Linked DNA regions of Callithrix jacchus. The protein of the gene in region 1 interacts with the protein of each later gene in a biochemical or structural test. Links are inferred from orthologs where the notes say so. Each region holds a gene or a part of one and is shown in the gene's direction. Other genes may lie near its edges. The genes, in order: RALBP1, SYNJ2BP, DLG4 and DLG1.

Region 1 (4,957 bases):
ACTTCAGTGACCCTTATTTCTAAAATCTCCCTGTTATATGTTTTTGACTGGTTTGCCATTTGCCCCACCCAGGACTGTAACCTCAGGTAAGCATGGCTGTGGGTTTGCCTTTTTCATTTCCATATAAGTTTGTCACTTTTAGTGGCAAAGCCTTGGGTTTTTTACCTCCCACCACAAATTGAGTCCTTCCCTTTGGCAGCAAAGCTGCTAGTTTTCTTGGCTAGTCCTACCCACACTGGCAAAACTGCAGTTCTGGTGCAACAGGGTGGGAGAGAAGCAGCCTCAGGCCAGAAGGCCACAGACATCTATTTCTGCTAGAAGTTCTAGCAGTTTTTCAAGAATAAATGCTTCTCAAATTGTTTTCTGTATTTGATTTCCAGTGCTCTGAAATGGTTGTTTTAGCCAATTTTGTCCAGTTTAATACTGATTTTGTGTGCAGAGAATTGCTGACTATGCCACACAGCCATAGCTGAACATTCCTTCCACAGTTTTTTTATGTAGGAACCTATAATAGGACCTTTCAGTGTCATGTAAAAGAAATCCAACTTAATTAGTTAGAACTTTTAGAATTTTAATATGAACTGGCTTGAACAACACAGGAAATTTGTGGCTCACAATTCTGGATAGTCTGTAAAATGGCCCTTGCACACAATCCAGAATAGTCTACAGGATAGTACATAGAATCAAACACGTGAGGTTTACTGCAGCTCAAACCAGGCCTCAAACACAAGGTTCTTCTCCATCTTTCCCGCACCCATTTGACAGTACTGACTTCAACCTCAGGCTCTACTGCTGCCTTCCCTCTAAACTCTCATCTCTCTAGGGTTTCTCCTTATAGGAGGAAAATGGTTGCCATATTTCTAGACGTCATATACTTACACCATACTAGAGGAGCAAGGAGCTACAGTTTACTAGAAGCCCCAGCCCAAGTCTTTGTGGGTTCATTGTTTCTGATTGGGTTTGTGACCATCTCTGTTGCTAGATGGAATGGTGGTGAGGCTAAAATGGGAGGAATAAATGCTCAAGAGGCAGTCAACAAATATATGCTACATCCACACATATTGGCTCCAAATAATGAATGAATTAGTGGGCTCACCCACTGAGGCTCACATGCTCACAGCACTTAAAGAGCTGCAAAAAAACAAATAAAAGCACAGTCTTCATTCTGCCAGCTCTTTCTCCCTTTCCATTTCTCATTTCTTCTCTATCACACCCTCATCTTTGGGTAGGCCACTTGATGATGCAGGAAACATGTCCATCAGCAACTGCCTCAGCAAAAATCTCCCCCTGCTCCCCCTCTGCGGCCCAATCAGTGCTGCCACAGGCAGGAAATTATCACTGCCATGCTTACCTGTCCAACCCAGAGATCAGAGGAGACTGTTCTACTGCGAGTGGCCCCGAAAGCCAAAGACTATCCCGTATCCACTCGTGGAAGGCCCCTGTGTTAAGACCCCTGAGGTTGAACTTTGATGGGTAGGGAGCGCAGAGTACTAGGGACAAATTTACTGCCTGCTTTGAGAAAAGCCGGTGTGGGAGCAAGAGAGCAAGATGGATAGCAGCTGCCAATCTATTGGACAACGATTTTCCAGAGAGTCCTGCAAGTAGGAATGCGAGTGACAGGGAAGGGCCGTCTATTCCAAGTCCCCGCAGGAGCCAACACCCGCTTCAGAAATTCTGTGGATGCTCCCGACCGAGCTTTATTCCCGTCTCTCCCTACAGGCCTAAGACGCTCCTTCCCCCAACCCCACACCCAGTCGAAGGCGGGGCAGCTGCCCCACCCAGCGGCAGGCCGGACGGCCCCCAGGCTGGTTTAACTGGTTGGAACGACTGAAACACGCCGGCACAAAGAAAGCTCTCAACTTTGGTAGCTGAGGCGCAGGCTGACCAGAGCGTGGAGAGGAAAGCTCTTTCTGTCCTCAAGGCTGTGGCAGGAGATGCCCGCAAACCACCCTCGCCAGCAATACACAGGGGTAGGCGTCCGTCCTGGGGTCCTGCAAGGCCAGCGACTGCGCAGGCGCCTGCAGAGCACTAGCGCTCGGCGCGTTCTCTCGCGCTCTCCCTCAGTCTGTCAGCTCAACGAGCCAGGACGAAGGCGGTGCGGTGCCTCCTGGGTGTTGTAGTTTTCTTCCTTGGAGAGAGGCCTTCTGGCTGACTGGACGCCGGGGTCTGAAGAACTACGCCTCCCAGTGCACCCCGCGCGAGGGCACAGGGCGCCTGCCCTTGACGGATTCAGCCGTCAGAGCTGAGAGGAGGACCCGGGAAGCCGGCTGCGGCGGGAGGAGGGAGTGCGCGTGCGCGCTGGACCGGCTCGTCTCGTTCCGTCCCAATCATTGTAAACAGGCGGAGGCTGGGCGGGGTGGGAATGGGGCGCTCGAGGCCGGCCTGGGGCGCAGCGCAGGAGGCGGCTGCAGTGGCTGCGGCAGCAGCGTGAGCACGAAGAGGTGGCGGCTGCGGCGGGGCGGGCGGTCGCGCGGCGGCAGGTACAGGTTAGTCACAGGGAGCTGTCGCGTGCGAGGGTCGCGGCGATGCCCCTGGCATGCCCGAGGAGCCCTCTCCGGCGCCGGCCTCGCGCCCTCGTCTGTCAGGCAGCGTGTGGGGCTCGGCGCTCGCCGCGCTGGAATTTGAAGTTGGGGGTGGTGGGCGTGGCTGCCCCCGGCGTCGGTTCCTCCCGGGAAGACTTCGTCCCAGTTCTCGCCCTCCTGGCCGTTCGTCGCTCCCTCTGGCCGAAGGGCCTCCCTTCGCGGCATCCACGTTTGTGGTGCTCTCGGGGGCCGGGGGCGGAGAGTTAGTAGCTGAGTCTCCCTCGGAGTCTCCAGGCCTCGGGGGAGCTTTTGGGGACGCCTGGACGGAGACCAGGGGACCCAGCCCTCACGGCTGGTGGGTCGTGCCCGGCATAGTGGCCGGGCTTTGGGGTTTTCCCAGGAAACCAGGACAGGCTCCTGGTGTCGCTCTCCGCTGTCACTGAGCAGTGAGCGCCCTTGGGTGCTGCGGTCCTTCCTTCAGGTTTCATTTGGAATGAAGGGACGGATCTGGAGTTGAGAATTCTTTCAAAACTCATGTCTCTGCCAAAATGCTCTTAATTGAGGTCAGCTTTCTCTCTCTTTTTAGAAAACTGGTCGTTGTGAGAGTGAAACAGGTTTTACAGAATTATTTCACACCTCCGACTTCCCTGAAGTAATCCTGCTGTTTCAAGTTTTGGGATTCAGTGTTACATAGCCTTCTTCCTCTTGAGCAAGGCCTAGTACAGTTCTTCAAGATCCCTAGTGTTAATTCGAGGTATTTTGAACGTGCATGTACAGGAAGTGCAGCCGTTTGGTCGTTTAGTTAGCGCACCATCCAGCCTTGTTAGAAAAGCTTTCGCTGGATTTTTTATTTAGTAGAGTGGTCATGTTCTAATGCTGCAATACTTTGGGGAGCATTCCATCGTACTTGGCAGTTATTCACGAAATACTGAACTTGTGATAAGGTTTTGATTTGGTGCTCAGAGAGGCAGCACTTCTAAATGAATAAATGGGACTGTGAATAAGAAAGATCACTTTCTGTTTTTAGAGTTATTTTGGTGATTTGATAACTCCTTTCTGTCTTTCTGATAATGAATAATTACTGTAAGCTGGAGTGGTGGTAATAAGGGTTGGAAGGTCAGTAGAATGGTTCTCACTTTTCATTCAGAGTATCTGGTAGATGAGTGGGGTAGGTTAGTTAACAGTAGCTTTTGAGAAGTAACTCTTTAAACAAGGTAACTTGAAACAATGTAATACAACTTAGTTTGCTATCTCTTCAAAATATGAATTTCTCCCCTAATTTAGAATGGAAAATGGTATCAGAAAGTGCATAGTAACTTTAATTTGTACAGTTATAGTTACATGGTTGTTTGCTTGGCAAGAAGAAATCGGGCCAAGAATGTAACCTAAAAGAATGTGCTTTGTGTTTTGAAAGAAGATCCCTATAGAAACTTAGTATATGTAAGAGGGAATGAGGAAAAATGCAGATTATTTAGAATACAGGAATTGCTATGTAGAAACTATTGTGACCAGGCAAGAGGACTTAAAGATAGATAAGGCAATGTCCCTGCCTTTAGGGTAGTTGAACCTTCTCTCTTTAATTGTCAACAAGTACAAGCTTGTATTGATTGAAGAACAGATGAGGGTATAGTAGATGTTCTAAGGAGTTAGTGTTCAGTTTCTTAAAATGAAGAAAAGGAGAACTGAAGAAGGGGGAAGCTGTAAGGAAAAACTATATATATAGAAGGTGATGAAAATAACAAGTGTACAGGCATAGAAAGAATGGGCATTTAGGTAGAAGGAGCAGTGTGAGAAAAAGCATGGGAGTGTAAAATTACAGAGTAGCATCTGCAAAAATAGCAAATATAATACAGAGTGGTGGCAAGACCTGAAACTGGGGAGACAGGCAGAGCAAATTGTGGATAGTCTTGCAGACATCGAAGTAATTGCAGTTTTATCTTATAAGCAAATAGAAGTCATTGAGAGGACGAAGAAAAAAACCTAAGTCAACTCAGCCCATTTTTAACCCTCTGCTATATGTCTGGCGCTATATTCGGTACTGTATACTTTATGTCCTTAAGCTTAAAGCAGGCTTACTCATGACCGATGCAGAAATTAGGGGGCTGGGGCTGGGGTGGGGAAGGAACTTGGAGAGGGAAATGTAGACAGAGACATATAGGTGAGAAAGAACATGGAACACTGGATGCAGCGGCTCACACCTGTATTCCCAGCTTTAGGGAGGTGGAGGCAGGAGGATAGCTTGAGCCCAGGAGTTTGAGACCTGCCTGAGCAATATAGTGAGACCCTGTTCTCCACAAAAAGGAAAAAAGAAAAAGACAAAAAAAAGAAAGAACATGGAACACTTTTGAGAATGGAAATTTGTTTACTGTAGCTGTAGCATTAGTTGTGGTGGTAAGTAGCAGAAGATGAGGTTGCACAGATCTTCAAAAGTATTG
Region 2 (5,064 bases), on another chromosome or scaffold:
TTACTTTTTTTCATTTATCATTCTCTGCCTTTTATAATGATAATTTTATTCACTCACCCAACCAACATGTAAGGAACCATTATCAATCCCTTTTTAAGATGGGGAAACAGAGTTCAGAGATGTTGGGTTCCTTGCTCGAAGACAGACAAGTGTTAAGGGAATGGAATGGAAACTTGAGCTCAGGTCTTAAGGCATAATCTGTGTTCTTTCCACTGTTTAATCTTAACTTCTCTCAGAGGGAGCAAATAAGAGGCTTCCCTGCCAAATCTGCCCCCATCTCCTCCAGTGTTTCTGTGTGATAAACATGGTAGCTGCTGCTTTGGTGTTTTGTTGTTGTTGTTGTTGTTGTTTTTTGAGATGGGGTTTCACTTTTGCTGCCCAGGCTGGTGTGCAATGGCGGGTTCTTGGCTCACTGTAACCTCCACCTCTTGGGTTCAAGGATTTTCCTGCCTCGGCCTCCCAAGTAGCTGGGATTACAGGCCTGGACCGTCACATCCAGCTAATTTTTTGTATTTTTAGTAGAGACAGCGTTTCTCCATTTCAGTCAGCCTGGTCTTAAACTCCCGACCTCAGGTGACCCACCTGCCTTGGCCTCCCAAAGTGCCGCTTTGGTTTTTTACTCTGAATTTGAATGTCTTTATATTGGCCTTGCACTTTCTAGTACTCTAAGATCCCCACCAATCCCTGTGGTCCTGGCTCTTAAGGCTTTTGTGTTTTTGACCCCTTAAGTTTCATTCAAGTTCAGTTTCGAATGTCTCATTCCAAAGGTCAGAAAGACTGGGCTAAAGTCTAAGTCGTGCATTAACCTTATTGTAACGGTTAAAAAATTAAAAAGATTGAATTTTCCCAGTTGCCAAAAGGATGAGACATTCCCCCACACCATTTCTTAAAAACTTTTCTTGAGCAAATTGTGATTATAATCTGTGCGTGTGTGTGTGTGTGTGTGTGTGTGTGTGTGTGTCTTTTTAAAAGCTAAATACCCAGGTACAAATAAAAAAATAAAAAATAAATAAGCCTCTTGTCAGATAAAAACCAGGAATTTTTTCCTAAGGTCCCAGGAGCCAACTCCTTGAAATGTAGGTATCAAGATAGCGCCCCTGTGTTCCACACTGCAGGAGTTAATCTAAGCACCTTGCTCCAAGCTTTAAATACCTGTTTGTCACAGAGATAACGTTTTATTTTTCCTTTGGATAAAGGCAACTAGCCAACACAGACGGCCACTCCAAGGGTAAACTACCAAAAAATTGAATACGAAACTATGTCAACTCGTCTTCCACGAGTACATGCGTGTGCTTTGGCTACATAAAAGATGAGATTTTCGTCTCTCTTTGCAATCTTATTAGTGGATTGCCTGTGACACCATTCCAGTCTGGTTCGATGCTTACAGAATAATACAACTTTTTTTCCTTTTCTACATTTGTTTAGATTTTCTAGGACGGCAGATTTTATTTTCTTTTTATTTTTTCTCGACAATATCAATTTGTTTAGGTCCCTTACTTTTACTAGCCACCCCCTTCCCACCTGCTTTCAATGGCAAATTAGAATGGTGGCTTGCCCCTTGCTCACCTCTTGCTTGACTTTGGGAAGCGGTGAAAAACTGCAACCCGTGGGCAGTAAGAACCACGATTCCCAGCATTCCCAGCGCTCCGAGTCCTTTGAACTTCCTTTTCCGGGTCTCGAGGCTGCTGAAACCGAAAGTGCTGTGCTGTGGGCGCAGCGCCGAGATTGATTCACCTTCACCTGCAGAACTCCAGCTGACCCACGTAGGAAGCCAGGCAAGCTGTAAAACATGAACGGAAGAGTGGATTATTTGGTCACTGAAGAAGAAATCAATCTTACCAGAGGACCCTCAGGTATGTGCGGAACAGGTCATTATCGGATAGTAGGGGATTAGAGGAGGTAATTGCCGACACCTCTGCTGCTGAGCGGGATTCACCTGGCCTCGGGGCAGGCAGGCCCCAACCTAGAGGTTTCCTGCAAAGCTTTGGGGTGCTTAGAGAAAATATATTGAATTCCATCATTAGCCAGATACGGGTCTGAGGAATCCACCTCAAAATCCAGTCGGGTGGCCACAAATATATATAGTCAAAAAGGGGTTCTTTCTGCAAATCCTGCTAGAAAAGCCTTTTTTAAAGCCTGCTTTTTTTAGACAGCTTACCTTGGGCACCACATCCTTCCGTTGCCTGTTCTATCACTCCCCCTACGAGGGATCGTTTAGTAAATTGGGAGCATAAACGGTGTGAACTCTGAATGCATAGCCGTTTTCCTCCAGCTGGGAACCCTTCCTCGCTCCTTTCGTTTCTGGGAAATTCATTTAGAGCGTCAACTAGAATGTTAAATCACGAAGAGCCCTTAGAAATCTTTTATTTACACAGTTTCCCTAACTTGGTTCTGCCACCAAATTACCCAGGGCTTTTTGGTTTTGCCTTTTATTTAAAAAATAAAAAAAGTTTAATTCCTGTGTCATTTGCAGGGATTTGGATTCAAAATGGGTGTGTCTGTGTGTATGTGTGTGTGTGTGTGTGTGAGTGTGTGTGTGTATATATATATATATATATATATATATTTTTTTTTTTTTTGTAATGAACACCTCATGTGATTTTGAGTAGCCAAACTGCTATCCTCTTCCTCCACTGAGGCTCTTCATTAAACCCGGCTCTTGACGTTACTGCGTTCTGCCTTCTATGGACTTTGTTGACTTTCCTTTACAGCTGTTTAGTTCATTGGTTAAAAGCTTTAGCTTTGGAATTACAGTATCTGGGTCCAAATCTTCTAACCTCTTACTGGTTCTTTGGTACTTATTGGCTATCTTAAGTGATGTAAGCCTTAGTTTACCATTTCTAAAATGGGGATGGTTGTAAATACACTTCGTAATGTTGTGAGAATGATGGAAAATGTTTACAACATTGCCAGACCCATGGTAGGCAGTGTCTCCTATTGTTATTGTTAATGGATGAATGGCTTAACTGACACAGTAAATTCTAATATTGTATTCCAAGAGTCTTTAATAAATCATCAAGTACTATGAGCTTCATTTCTGAAATGTTCCTGAAATTATTTCACTGCTATTTCCATTGCCACTACGTAAGGCAGTGCATCACCTTTTCTCATCTGCAGTTCTGCAGTAGCCTAATCATCATGGATAGATTATTCTTTATAAAATAGGACTTTCAGAATTACCCATACGTTGTGTCTTCTCTTCTTTTCTTTTCTTTTTTTTCTTTTTTGAGACAGGATCTCACTCTGTTGCCCAGGCTGGAGTGTAGTGGCACGATCCGAACTCACTGCAGCCTCTCCCTCCCAGGCTCAAGCAATCCTCCCATCTCAGCCTTTTGCGTAACTGGTACCACAGGTATACACTGCCATGTCTGGCTAATTTTTTTGCATTTTTAATAGAGACGATGTTTCGCTATGTTGCCCAGGCTGGTTTCGAACTCCTGAGTTCAAATGATCCACCCACCTCAGCCTCCCAAAGTGCTGGGATTATAGATGTGAGCCACTGCACCTGGCCTTCCTTTCTATTATAAAAAATTGGAAGTTGGTTTTACTTATTGGAATATAACTCATCACTAATATCATTATTATTATTTGTTTTTAGAGACGAAGTCTCACTTTGTTGCCCAGCATGGTCTTGAACTCCTGGACTCAGGCAGTCTTCCTGCCTTGGCCTCCTAAAGTGCTGGAATTACAGTCGTGAGCCACCACGCCTGGCTTGTCGCTAATCTTAATGGGTTAATGTCATGCTCCATTTGTGGACCGAAATTTTAGTCAAAGGCTCATTTGGTATGCCCAAGTTTCTTGGATTCATTTTTTTGCTATTTTATATAAATTTCTCCTTCACTCACTGTTAATATTTATTGACTTTTGAGGTTAACATAGAAAGTTACTTTTAAACCAAAATCTGTTTTTCTGTACTTTTCATTCATTGATAATTTGTTTTCTTAGTACCATTTAAAACAATGCTAGTTCCTTTTCTGATTGCTGTGCAAGTAGTAAAGGCTCTAGTTGTTCTGCTCCTGTTTTGCCACTTTCTTCTTTAGCCTAAATATCTTCAGTTATTTTTTATTTTATTTTATTTTATTTTTTTGAGATGGAGTCTTGTTCTGTTGTCAGGCTGGAGCTCAGTGGTGCCATCTTGGCTTACTGCAACCTCTACCTCCCGGGTTCAAGTGATTCTTCTGCCTCAGCCTCCCGAGTTGCTGGGGCTACAGGCGCATGCCACCACACCCAGCTAAGTTTTGTATTTTTAATAGAGACGGGGTTTCACCATGTTGGCCAGGATGGTATCGATATCCTGACCTTGTGATCTGCCCGCCTTCGTCTCCCAAATTGCTGGGATTATAGGCGTGAGCCACCGTGCCCAGCTCTTCACTTATTTTATTACCTCTCGAGATGTTTGAGATTTGATTTTTGCCTTTTGTTTAAGAATTTAATGTACTTTGACATAGTCCTTTTGCTGTGGCATCCACAGTGTTTTCAGATCTCCTGTCTAAAGCAGAGCAGAACCCTGATACTATCTCTTGTTCTAAACATGAAATCTTCTTAAAATTTAGTATAATGTCACTTCATCTTTTTTGGCATTTACAGTCATAAATTTCCTAGTGTTAGTATTTTCCCAAAACATTGGCATTGGCATTAGGACAAGCTTCAAGGACTATTTAAAGGGAATAATTATATCTAGCTAATATATTTCACTAAAAATGGTTTGATTTCTGTATCATGTACATATTACAAATGAATGTATTTATTTACGCAGTGGCTTCCTAAATTTTCATAAGCATTTCCATGTCTTAATCATATAAGTCAGTGAACTTCCTGGGAGAGTAGAGCCACAAATTTAGGAATGAACTTGGGTGAAAACAGTCATTTGAAATTTGGTTGGTTCAGTTAACAAGGAAAGGTTTCAAGTTCATGTTTATCCCAGAACTGGTTTCCTAGTATGTGATACTCTTCTTTTGAGTATCTAATTCTTCTTTTGAGAGTCTAATTCAGCTTTTCTTCATGGTATCATCATGAAGATATATAGGGAAGAGACTGAGTCTCAAAATACCACTAGAAACTTCT
Region 3 (4,412 bases), on another chromosome or scaffold:
TCTTTTGTTGTTCGGAGGCAGATCTTGCTTTGTCGCCCAGCAGGCTGGAGTGCAGTGGTGCGATGTTGGCTCACTGCAACTTCCACCTCTTGGGCTCAAGCGATCCTCCCACCTCAGCCTCCTGGGTAGCTGGGATTACAGGTGAATGCTATCATGCTCAGCTAGCTTTTTATTTTGTAGAGATAGGATTTCACCATGTTATCCAAGCTGGAGGATTTTTTTTTTTTGAGAGGGAGTCTGGGTCTGTCGCCCAGGCTGGAGTGCAGTGGCACAATCTTGGCTCATTGCAACCTCCGCCTCCTGCGTTCAAGCAATTTTCTTGCCTCAGCCTCCTGAGTACCTGAGATTACAGACATGAGCTGCGATGCCCAGCCAATTTTTGTATGTTTAGTAGAGATGGGATTTCGCCATGTTGGCCAGGCTGCTCTCAAACCCTTGATCCCAAGTGATCTGCCTGCCTTGGTCTCCAGAGTGCTGGGATTACAGGCGTGAGCCATTGTGCCTGGCCTCGATTGTTATTTTTACAGAAGAATTCCCACTAATAAATGCTCCCTGTTCCAAAGAAAGAACGTAGTAGAATATCACTATTTCCAAGGTCCTGGTACACACCAGAGCTAGGAGGTGGTTGTCAGGTTGTAACTTACCTGAGAGGCTTATGGGGCACTTTATAATGGATGGAATGGGCTGAAGACCCCGAACCTCCCATTAATCTTATCTGACAGAATGACAACCAGACATTATTTCATCCTGTGGTGATGCCGTAGGAAGAACAGAGCACCACCTATGAAGTATACAGGACTTACTAAAAAAAATTCTGAATTGAACTTGAAACTAATCAAGCCTCAGAATTAACTGCCAGTTTACAGGAGATACAGGGGCAGAGGCAGAGGCTAAACCACATCACAGGAGAGTAAGCAGTAATTTCCCTGTTAGACTTTCCCCTAAACGCTGGTTGAGGTGGCTGATGCCTATAATCCCAGCACTTTGGGAGGCTGAGGCGGGTGGATCATTTGAGGTCAGGAGTTCGAGACCAGCCTGGCCAACATGGTGAAACCCCGTTTCTACTAAAAATACAAAAATTAGCTGGGTGTGCTCCTGTAATCCCAGCTACTTGGGAGGCTGAAGCATGAGCATTGCTTGAACCCAGGAGGCAGAGGCTGCAATGAGCTGAGATCGTACCACTGCACTCCAGCCTGGGTGACTCTGTCTAAAAAGAAAAGTTTTCCTCATAGCATGTGGGAAATTCTTTTAGATAAATGACCTAGTTTTTTCAACAAATGGATGGCAAGTGGGGGAAAAAAGAGGGAGAAGAATTTTATGGATCAAGAGATTTGAGAGACACAGGAACCAAAAGTAAACCCCAAAGCATGGTGTTAATGTTCCCCTTTGACTTGCCCATCCCTGACATACTGAGGACATATCATGTTCAAATCCTTTATCCCCTAGGACAATCAGCCTCTGATGTCGCCTATAAATTCCTGACCCCTGACGTCACTGATCTGATATCCCCTTCCACCTCACCCTGGCGTCTCTGGCAGAATACCTCCGTTCCACCTAACTGTGGCTCCCTTGGCCCCCCTGGGGAGAAGGTTGGGTGGCAGGTGCTGTTTCCCTCCAGGCACTTTCATCTCCACCCCATGTCTTCCTCAGCTTATTCCCAGCACCTGGACAATGAGATCAGTCACAGCAGCTACCTGGGCACCGACTACCCCACAGCCATGACCCCCACTTCCCCTCGGCGCTACTCCCCAGTGGCCAAAGACCTGCTCGGGGAGGAGGACATTCCCCGAGAACCGAGGCGAATCGTGATCCACCGGGGCTCCACAGGCCTAGGCTTCAATATCGTGGGTGGCGAGGACGGCGAAGGCATCTTCATCTCCTTTATTCTGGCTGGGGGCCCTGCAGACCTCAGTGGGGAGCTGCGGAAGGGGGACCAGATCCTGTCGGTGAGGAAAGGCCTGCCCCTCCCTGCACCATCCCCTCCCCATTGCTGCACCACTCCCTCTCTTCAGGGCACAGCGCAGAGCTCTTGCGGAGGGGTGTGGGTGAGCTGCAGCCTGGTCCTCTTGTGGGATCACTCCCTGCTCCACCTGGACCCAGAGGTGCTGGCTCCTGTCTCTGGTGACACAGCCTCTCCTCTCTCTAGGTCAATGGTGTTGACCTCCGCAATGCCAGCCATGAGCAGGCCGCCATTGCCCTGAAGAATGCGGGTCAGACGGTCACAATCATCGCTCAGTATAAACCAGAAGGTACCAGGCTGGAAACTCCTTGTCTTATGAGCTAAAATGGCCCTTAGGACTCTGCCTCTTCAGCCGATGGCTTCCGTGGGGGTGGAGAGGGTGGCAGTAGGATGGGAACAGAGCTCAAGAACCTCCCTGTCCTTCCTCAGAGTACAGCCGATTTGAGGCCAAGATCCATGACCTTCGGGAGCAGCTCATGAACAGCAGCCTGGGCTCAGGGACGGCCTCCCTGCGGAGCAACCCCAAGAGGGGTTTCTACATAAGGTCAGAGGCTCCCTGGGCTGGGCTCCTCAGCCTCTCCGAGTTCCTGGGCACTCTGTGTTCGGCCGCTCCTCCTCTCCACCCTGCCTGCTCTAGCTTTCACCCCAGGCCTGACCTGCAGCTGGGGTTCATGGGCTTGGTTGCACAGATTAACATTTGAAATACTCCCTGTCAATGGGAAAATCGCCTCTGCCCCAAGTATCCCAACTGCCTTCTAGCCCCGGTCATTGCAGCACTTCCCTGGGCTCCGAGACCATCCCGCAATTTGGCCCTTCGAAGGTTAATGTTTGGGGGAACAGCGGTCCTCTAGGGTATTTGGAGTGTTGCCCAGCCCTCACGTCCTTGTGGGCAGTCCTGGAGAGGTGGGCCGAAGCTCTGTTGTGCCTGCCTCCTGTCTCTCCAGTGGGATTTTGACCCCCTCTTAGGGCTCCTCTCCTTTGACTTTTTTTTTTTTCGAGATGGAGTCTCTAGCCCCTGTTGCCCAGGTTGGAGTGCAGTGGTGCCATCTTGGCTCACTGCAACCTCTGCCTCCCGGGTTCAAGTGATTCTCCCACCTCAGCCTCCTGAGTAGTTAGGACTACAGACACGCGCCACCACACCCAGCTTTTTGTTTTGTATTTTTATTAGAGACGGGGTTTCACCGTGTTAGCCAGAGTGGTCTCGATCTCCTAACCTTGTGATCTGCCCGCCTTGGCCTCTTGAAGTGCTGGGATTACAGGCGTGAACCCCCCGATTCAGGCCTCCATTGACTCTTTTGTGGCTTAGGTCCCTCCTGCCCCCACGGATCCCCCTCGCATCTGCCTCCTCTTCTCTCCCTCTCTGGTCCTGTGGCTCTCATGGCCTCGTCTCTTGCCCCGATCTGCAGATGTCTCTAGGAGCTGTCGGCCCTGGCTGAACTCTTTCCGGAGGTCGAGACCTGCACTTCTGGCCATCTGCTTTCTGGCCATCTCTACTGGGATGTCCCACAGGCGTCCCATACTCAACAGGTCCCCCGCTGAGCTCATCGTCCTGCTGTGGACCTGTTCCATCTTGCTGCATCAGCAGTTTCCCTCTTGCTGAGTGGCATCTCTGGCCACCCAGACGCCAGCTCACACCTGAGCCCTTGCTCTGCCCTTTCTCTGTGCTCAGGTCCAGTTGGTCCCCAAGGTTCTTCTGACTCCCAGTAACCACAGAGATTGTGTGGTGGCTCCCAGGGGGAATGTCTTCTGGTTGTCAGACTCTCAGGAGGCCTGGGGTCTCTTCCCTCCTCTCCAGGTCCATTGCTTTCCTCTGGATCTTCATTCCTTCTTTAGTTTCTGATGCCAGGAGTTGTGACTTATAGGGATTTGATACTAGTAAGGGTAACCATGATTTGCAGACACGGGACCTTTCTTTTTCTTATTAATTTGGACAGATTCAAGGTTACCCCTGTGACTTTATGATGCGCACATGTACTGCAAACTGTTTTCTTGAGAGGGTGGAGTTCCAGCTCTCCCTCTGGAAACTGTACTCAGTGTGGGCTGAATGATGGTTAATAGTTGTGGTGGTTACGATTACAGTCAGCGTTTGGTCCCCACACAGTTTTGGGTTACTCAGCACCCATTGTGGCCATGGGAGTGCCATCCACAGATCTCTGGGCTGGGTCTCAGGGTGACTGATGCAACCTTCCTGGGGTCCTCAGCCGGGCTCTGACCAGTAGCCACTTGCCCCCCAGGGCCCTGTTTGATTACGACAAGACCAAGGACTGCGGCTTCCTAAGCCAGGCCCTGAGCTTCCGCTTTGGAGACGTGCTGCATGTCATCGATGCTAGCGATGAGGAGTGGTGGCAGGCACGGCGGGTCCACTCTGACAGTGAGACCGATGACATTGGCTTCATCCCCAGCAAACGGCGGTGAGGCTCTGGGCTCTGTAGCCTTCCTGCCACAGGCACTG
Region 4 (4,412 bases), on another chromosome or scaffold:
ACATGTATTTTATGAAACATAGTTTATTCCATAGTATATTAGAATCTAGTCATTTCATATTGACTTTTATATTTGTGTTTTATTTCCTAAGCAATTTTTTTCAAGTGTTCTTGTTAACATCGCTATCTTCCAAATAACCCTTTTTTGAAAATCTTGGGAGCATCTTTGACCCTTCTCTGTTCCTCATGCTCCTCAGCTAATCAGGTTCCAGGCACTATTGTACTTCTTTCTTATTTATGACCTGCTCTTCGTCCCTTCTACCACAATGTTAGTTCTCGGCCTCACTCCCCATCTCCATTCTTCCAGCACGATCTTATGCAACCTAGAGTTTACACTTCTTTAGATCATCTTTCTAAAACACTACTGTGATTATATCACTTCCTACATCTAATTTCTCTTCTGCCCTTCTTTGCTCTGCTTCCTTACAATTTCTACTTCAAAACTGTCTGTAAAACACTATATGTTATTCTGTCATTTGCAATGTAAATAAACATAATCTGCTAAACTACCAAATTTAACTTTGAATTATCAAGTGTATGACTTCTAGCAGGAGACTGAGTAAACTTTAAGATCTTAGTCAAGATTATAAAACAGCAAATTAGGCATCTTTGGTTGACGGAAAAGGAAGATGGAGGAGGAAGAAAAAAATTCTTTGTAACAGTTACGGATATTTTTGTTCTCTGGTGAAATAAAATATATCAATATTTGTTAAATGTTTATTCCTTTTAACATGCAGTTTATCTTTATAGTTAATTATACTCGACCAGTGATCATATTGGGACCTATGAAAGACAGGATAAATGATGACTTGATCTCAGAATTTCCTGATAAATTTGGATCTTGTGTTCCTCGTGAGTAACCCAAACAAAAACATTTAATTATTTAATTATTAATTGTTATTCTTAACATTTCCTGTCACTATGTGTGGGAAAAATAAATATAACCTTTTTTTAATGGTTTCTACTTATTTTATCAGTTACTCTTTTATCCTCCATATTATTGTCCTTTCTCAGATTTAAATTAATTTGATCTGTTGAACTTTACAAAACAATGATAAAGTGGAAAATGGATTTATTGTGGGGTTTTTTTTAAATATTAAACACTTCCCCAAGTTTTCTTCTGTTAAAGATACAACTAGACCAAAGCGAGATTATGAAGTAGATGGAAGAGATTATCATTTTGTGACTTCAAGAGAGCAGATGGAAAAAGATATCCAAGAACATAAATTTATTGAAGCTGGTCAGTATAACAATCATCTATATGGAACAAGTGTTCAGTCTGTGCGAGAAGTAGCAGAAAAGGTAAGCATCAAACTAACCCCAGAATATAGCTTCTAATCAGATATGCCTTTGACAGAATGAAAGAGTGGTAGAGTAGATACAGCACTGATCAGTTTTATTAATGTAATGAATTTGTTTATCTAAATATTTAATTTTACGTGACCTAGGAAAGTGCATAGACAATAAAATAGGTAGACAAAGTGAGAGGAGAAGTTATCATTGTAAGGTCATTTGCTAGAGATAGACCAAGAAAGACAGGAAGGAAGGAAAAAAAGGAAAGAAAGACAGAGAAAGAGGGAGGGGGAAAGAGAGAAGAAAGAAAAAGGGAGGGAGGGAGGGAAAAGAAAAGAAATAAAGAATCTGACCACTTAATTTTTTTAAAACCGACCAGGCATGGTCGCTCACCCCTATGATCCCAACACTTTGGGAGGCCAAAGCAGACAGATCACCTGAGGTCAGGAGTTCAAGACCAGCCTGACCAACATGATGAAACCCCGTCTCTACTAAAAATACAAAAATTAGCCGAGCGTGGTGGCTCATGCCTGTAGTCCCAGCTACTCGAGAGGCTGAGGCAGGAGAATTGCTCGAACCCGGGAGGTGGAGGTTGCATTGAGCAGAGATCGCGCCAGTATACTCCACCCTGGGTGACAGAGCAAGACTCTGTCTCAAAAAAAAAATTTTTTTAACTTAATTTATGGCGAAAGAACTTTTCCAAAAACTACTGGAAAATACCATTAACAATGTCAAAAGGCAACTGACAGAGAAAAACCTTGCAAGAAAGGGGCTGATAGTCCCACTATGTAAAGACCTCATAAAAACAGGGAATAGAGGCCAGAAACCTAAGAGAAAAAAAATGGACAAAAGATGAGAATACATGGTTCACACAAAAATACAATATAAAAATGGCCTCTGTACAGAGGAAATGATGTCCAGCCATAGTCATTATTAAAGAAATGTAAATTGGCTGGGCATGGTGGCCCACGGGTAATACCAGCTCTTTGGGAGACCAGGACGGGTAGATCACCTGAGATTAGTAGTTCAAGAACAGCCTGGCCAACGTGGTGAAACCCCATCTCTACTAAAAATACAAAAATCAGCCAGATGTGGTGGTACACACCTGTAATTCAAGCTACTTGGGAGACTGAGGCAGGAGAATCACTTGAACCCAGTAGGCAGAGGTTGCAGTGATCCAAGACCACACCACTGCACTCCAGCCTGGGCAACAGAGAAAGACTCCATCTCAAAAAAAAAAAAAAAAAAAAAAGAAAGAAAGGTAAATTAAAATTACTCTAAATTCCATTTTTCCCCTATCCTACTGGGGGAGAAATATGAAGACATTTTCTTGGTGAGGCTGAGAGCAAACAGACAGTCGTGCATTGCTGGTGGAGATGCAAACTGGTGCTGCCTTTGGAAGGGTATTTGGCAATATCCAGCAGCTATCCTTCAGCCCAGCATTCCACGTCTAGGAATTTATTCCAGAGATACCCCCAACAGTATGAAAATACATGGGCAAAGGGGCATTTATTGTAGCATTGTTTATAATTGTGAGATACTGAAAACTATCTAAATGCCCAGATAAAAGAGTGATTGAACAATTAATTTTACATTCACAAAATGAAGTTCTCTAAAACTGTTAATAAAGAAGGTATCTGGGGCCGGGTGCGGTGGCTCAAGCCTGTAATCCCAGCACTTTGGGAGGCCGAGGCGGGTGGATCACGAGGTCAAGAGATCGAGACCATCCTGGTCAACATGGTGAAACCCCGTCTCTACTAAAAATACAAAAAATTAGCTGGGCATGGTGGCGCACGCCTGTAATCCCAGCTACTCGGGAGGCTGAGGCAGGAGAATTGCCAAAACCCAGGAGGCAGAGGTTGTGGTGAGCTGAGATTGAGCCATTGCACTCCAGCCTGGGTAATAAGAGCGAAACTCGTCTCAAAAAAAAAAAAAAAAAGAAGGTATCTGAACTGATAAAAGAAAATGGGAAAATAGATATCTCTACTCAGTTGTATGAAAACAAACACAGGAAAGGTAAATCAGAACTTGATGAGATTGGTTACCTACAGAGGGAAGTAGAAAGGATGGGGAATTTGGAATGGATTGGAAAGGATTAGGTACGACATTTCTCTGAGCATACATATTTGTATTATTTTAATTTTAGAAAATATGTTAATATTTTACATATTTTTAAAACTCAAAAATAAAATCAAAGAAAGATGGGGGAAAGCAAAATGATATACAAATAGAAACTAAATAAACCTGACTGTATTTCAGATGAATAACTTAACTACATTGAGAAGGAGAGAATTCTTAATCCCAGAGATTCTTTAACACAAGCTGAAAACAGAAAGATCTGTAAACAAAATCAAACTCTAATTAGTAGGTTTGTTGTGTGCAGTGTATGGGCTTGTAGTTCTGAAACTAATATATATTCTGGGGTTGATCAAGTAAACTAATATAGTGACAGTAGTGAAAGTGGGGCTTGCCTGTCAGAAAAAGGGAGAAGGTAAAATGAACTCTGTGATAATTGGATTGGAAATACTAGACGATTAGAGCTATGACTATGAACCCATGAATTGTAATAGAGTAGATAGAGAAATAGATGTGTATTTATATGTATAGACATATATGTTTATTTGCTCTATCCATTGAGAAGACCTAAAAGTAACACTCAATAAGCAATGAGAATATCTGTTGCCCAGATGTTGGCTTCTAAATATAATTCTTTATTTAAAAGATCTAGGACTCTTTAGATAAATGGCTGATTCTGGGGCCAGGACTGGAAAAGTTCAAGATGATCCTATAAAAACATTTGCTTCCTGAAAAATAAGGAAGCACTCAATGATGAGGATATATAAAAAGACACAGGAACCAAGCTGTAGAGTTCCCCACTGGCCAAGTCTGAGATAATTTGAATATCAGAATAAGTGATAATAAAGATTATAATACATAGAGTAAAATAAAAATTTTAGAGTCCATAATGACATAAACACAGATGGCCCCCAACTTAGCATGGTTCAACTTTACAGTGGTGTAAAAATGATGCATATTCAGTAGCAGCCATATTTGAAGTACTATACAACCATTCTGTTTTTCACTTGTAGTACAGTAGTCAGTGAATTACATGAAAAATTC

What was found.
Region 2: the proteins of RALBP1 (region 1) and SYNJ2BP form a complex in vitro, tested with the Homo sapiens proteins (2 studies listed by BioGRID and IntAct, with this or other methods). The link is inferred for Callithrix jacchus from reciprocal best matches to the Homo sapiens genes RALBP1 and SYNJ2BP.
Region 3: the proteins of RALBP1 (region 1) and DLG4 interact in a biophysical measurement, tested with the Homo sapiens proteins (2 studies listed by IntAct, with this or other methods). The link is inferred for Callithrix jacchus from reciprocal best matches to the Homo sapiens genes RALBP1 and DLG4.
Region 4: the proteins of RALBP1 (region 1) and DLG1 interact in a test that uses a peptide from one of them, tested with the Homo sapiens proteins (2 studies listed by IntAct, with this or other methods). The link is inferred for Callithrix jacchus from reciprocal best matches to the Homo sapiens genes RALBP1 and DLG1.

What each region holds. Positions count from the first base shown.
Region 1 is NC_133514.1:53,473,042-53,477,998, reverse strand, and holds the start of RALBP1 (ralA-binding protein 1), read left to right. Parts: upstream 1-1,839; 5' UTR 1,840-1,970; intron 1,971-2,305; exon of another isoform or gene 2,306-2,486; intron 2,487-4,957. UniProt on the Homo sapiens protein: Multifunctional protein that functions as a downstream effector of RALA and RALB. As a GTPase-activating protein/GAP can inactivate CDC42 and RAC1 by stimulating their GTPase activity.
Region 2 is NC_133509.1:105,382,386-105,387,449, reverse strand, and holds the start of SYNJ2BP (synaptojanin-2-binding protein), read left to right. Parts: upstream 1-1,684; 5' UTR 1,685-1,789; coding exon 1,790-1,853; intron 1,854-5,064. UniProt on the Homo sapiens protein: Regulates endocytosis of activin type 2 receptor kinases through the Ral/RALBP1-dependent pathway and may be involved in suppression of activin-induced signal transduction.
Region 3 is NC_133506.1:73,685,614-73,690,025, reverse strand, and holds part of DLG4 (disks large homolog 4), read left to right. Parts: intron 1-1,650; coding exon 1,651-1,946; intron 1,947-2,146; coding exon 2,147-2,249; intron 2,250-2,389; coding exon 2,390-2,504; intron 2,505-4,194; coding exon 4,195-4,371; intron 4,372-4,412. UniProt on the Homo sapiens protein: Postsynaptic scaffolding protein that plays a critical role in synaptogenesis and synaptic plasticity by providing a platform for the postsynaptic clustering of crucial synaptic proteins.
Region 4 is NC_133516.1:25,086,154-25,090,565, forward strand, and holds part of DLG1 (disks large homolog 1), read left to right. Parts: intron 1-749; coding exon 750-851; intron 852-1,128; coding exon 1,129-1,301; intron 1,302-4,412. UniProt on the Homo sapiens protein: Essential multidomain scaffolding protein required for normal development. Recruits channels, receptors and signaling molecules to discrete plasma membrane domains in polarized cells.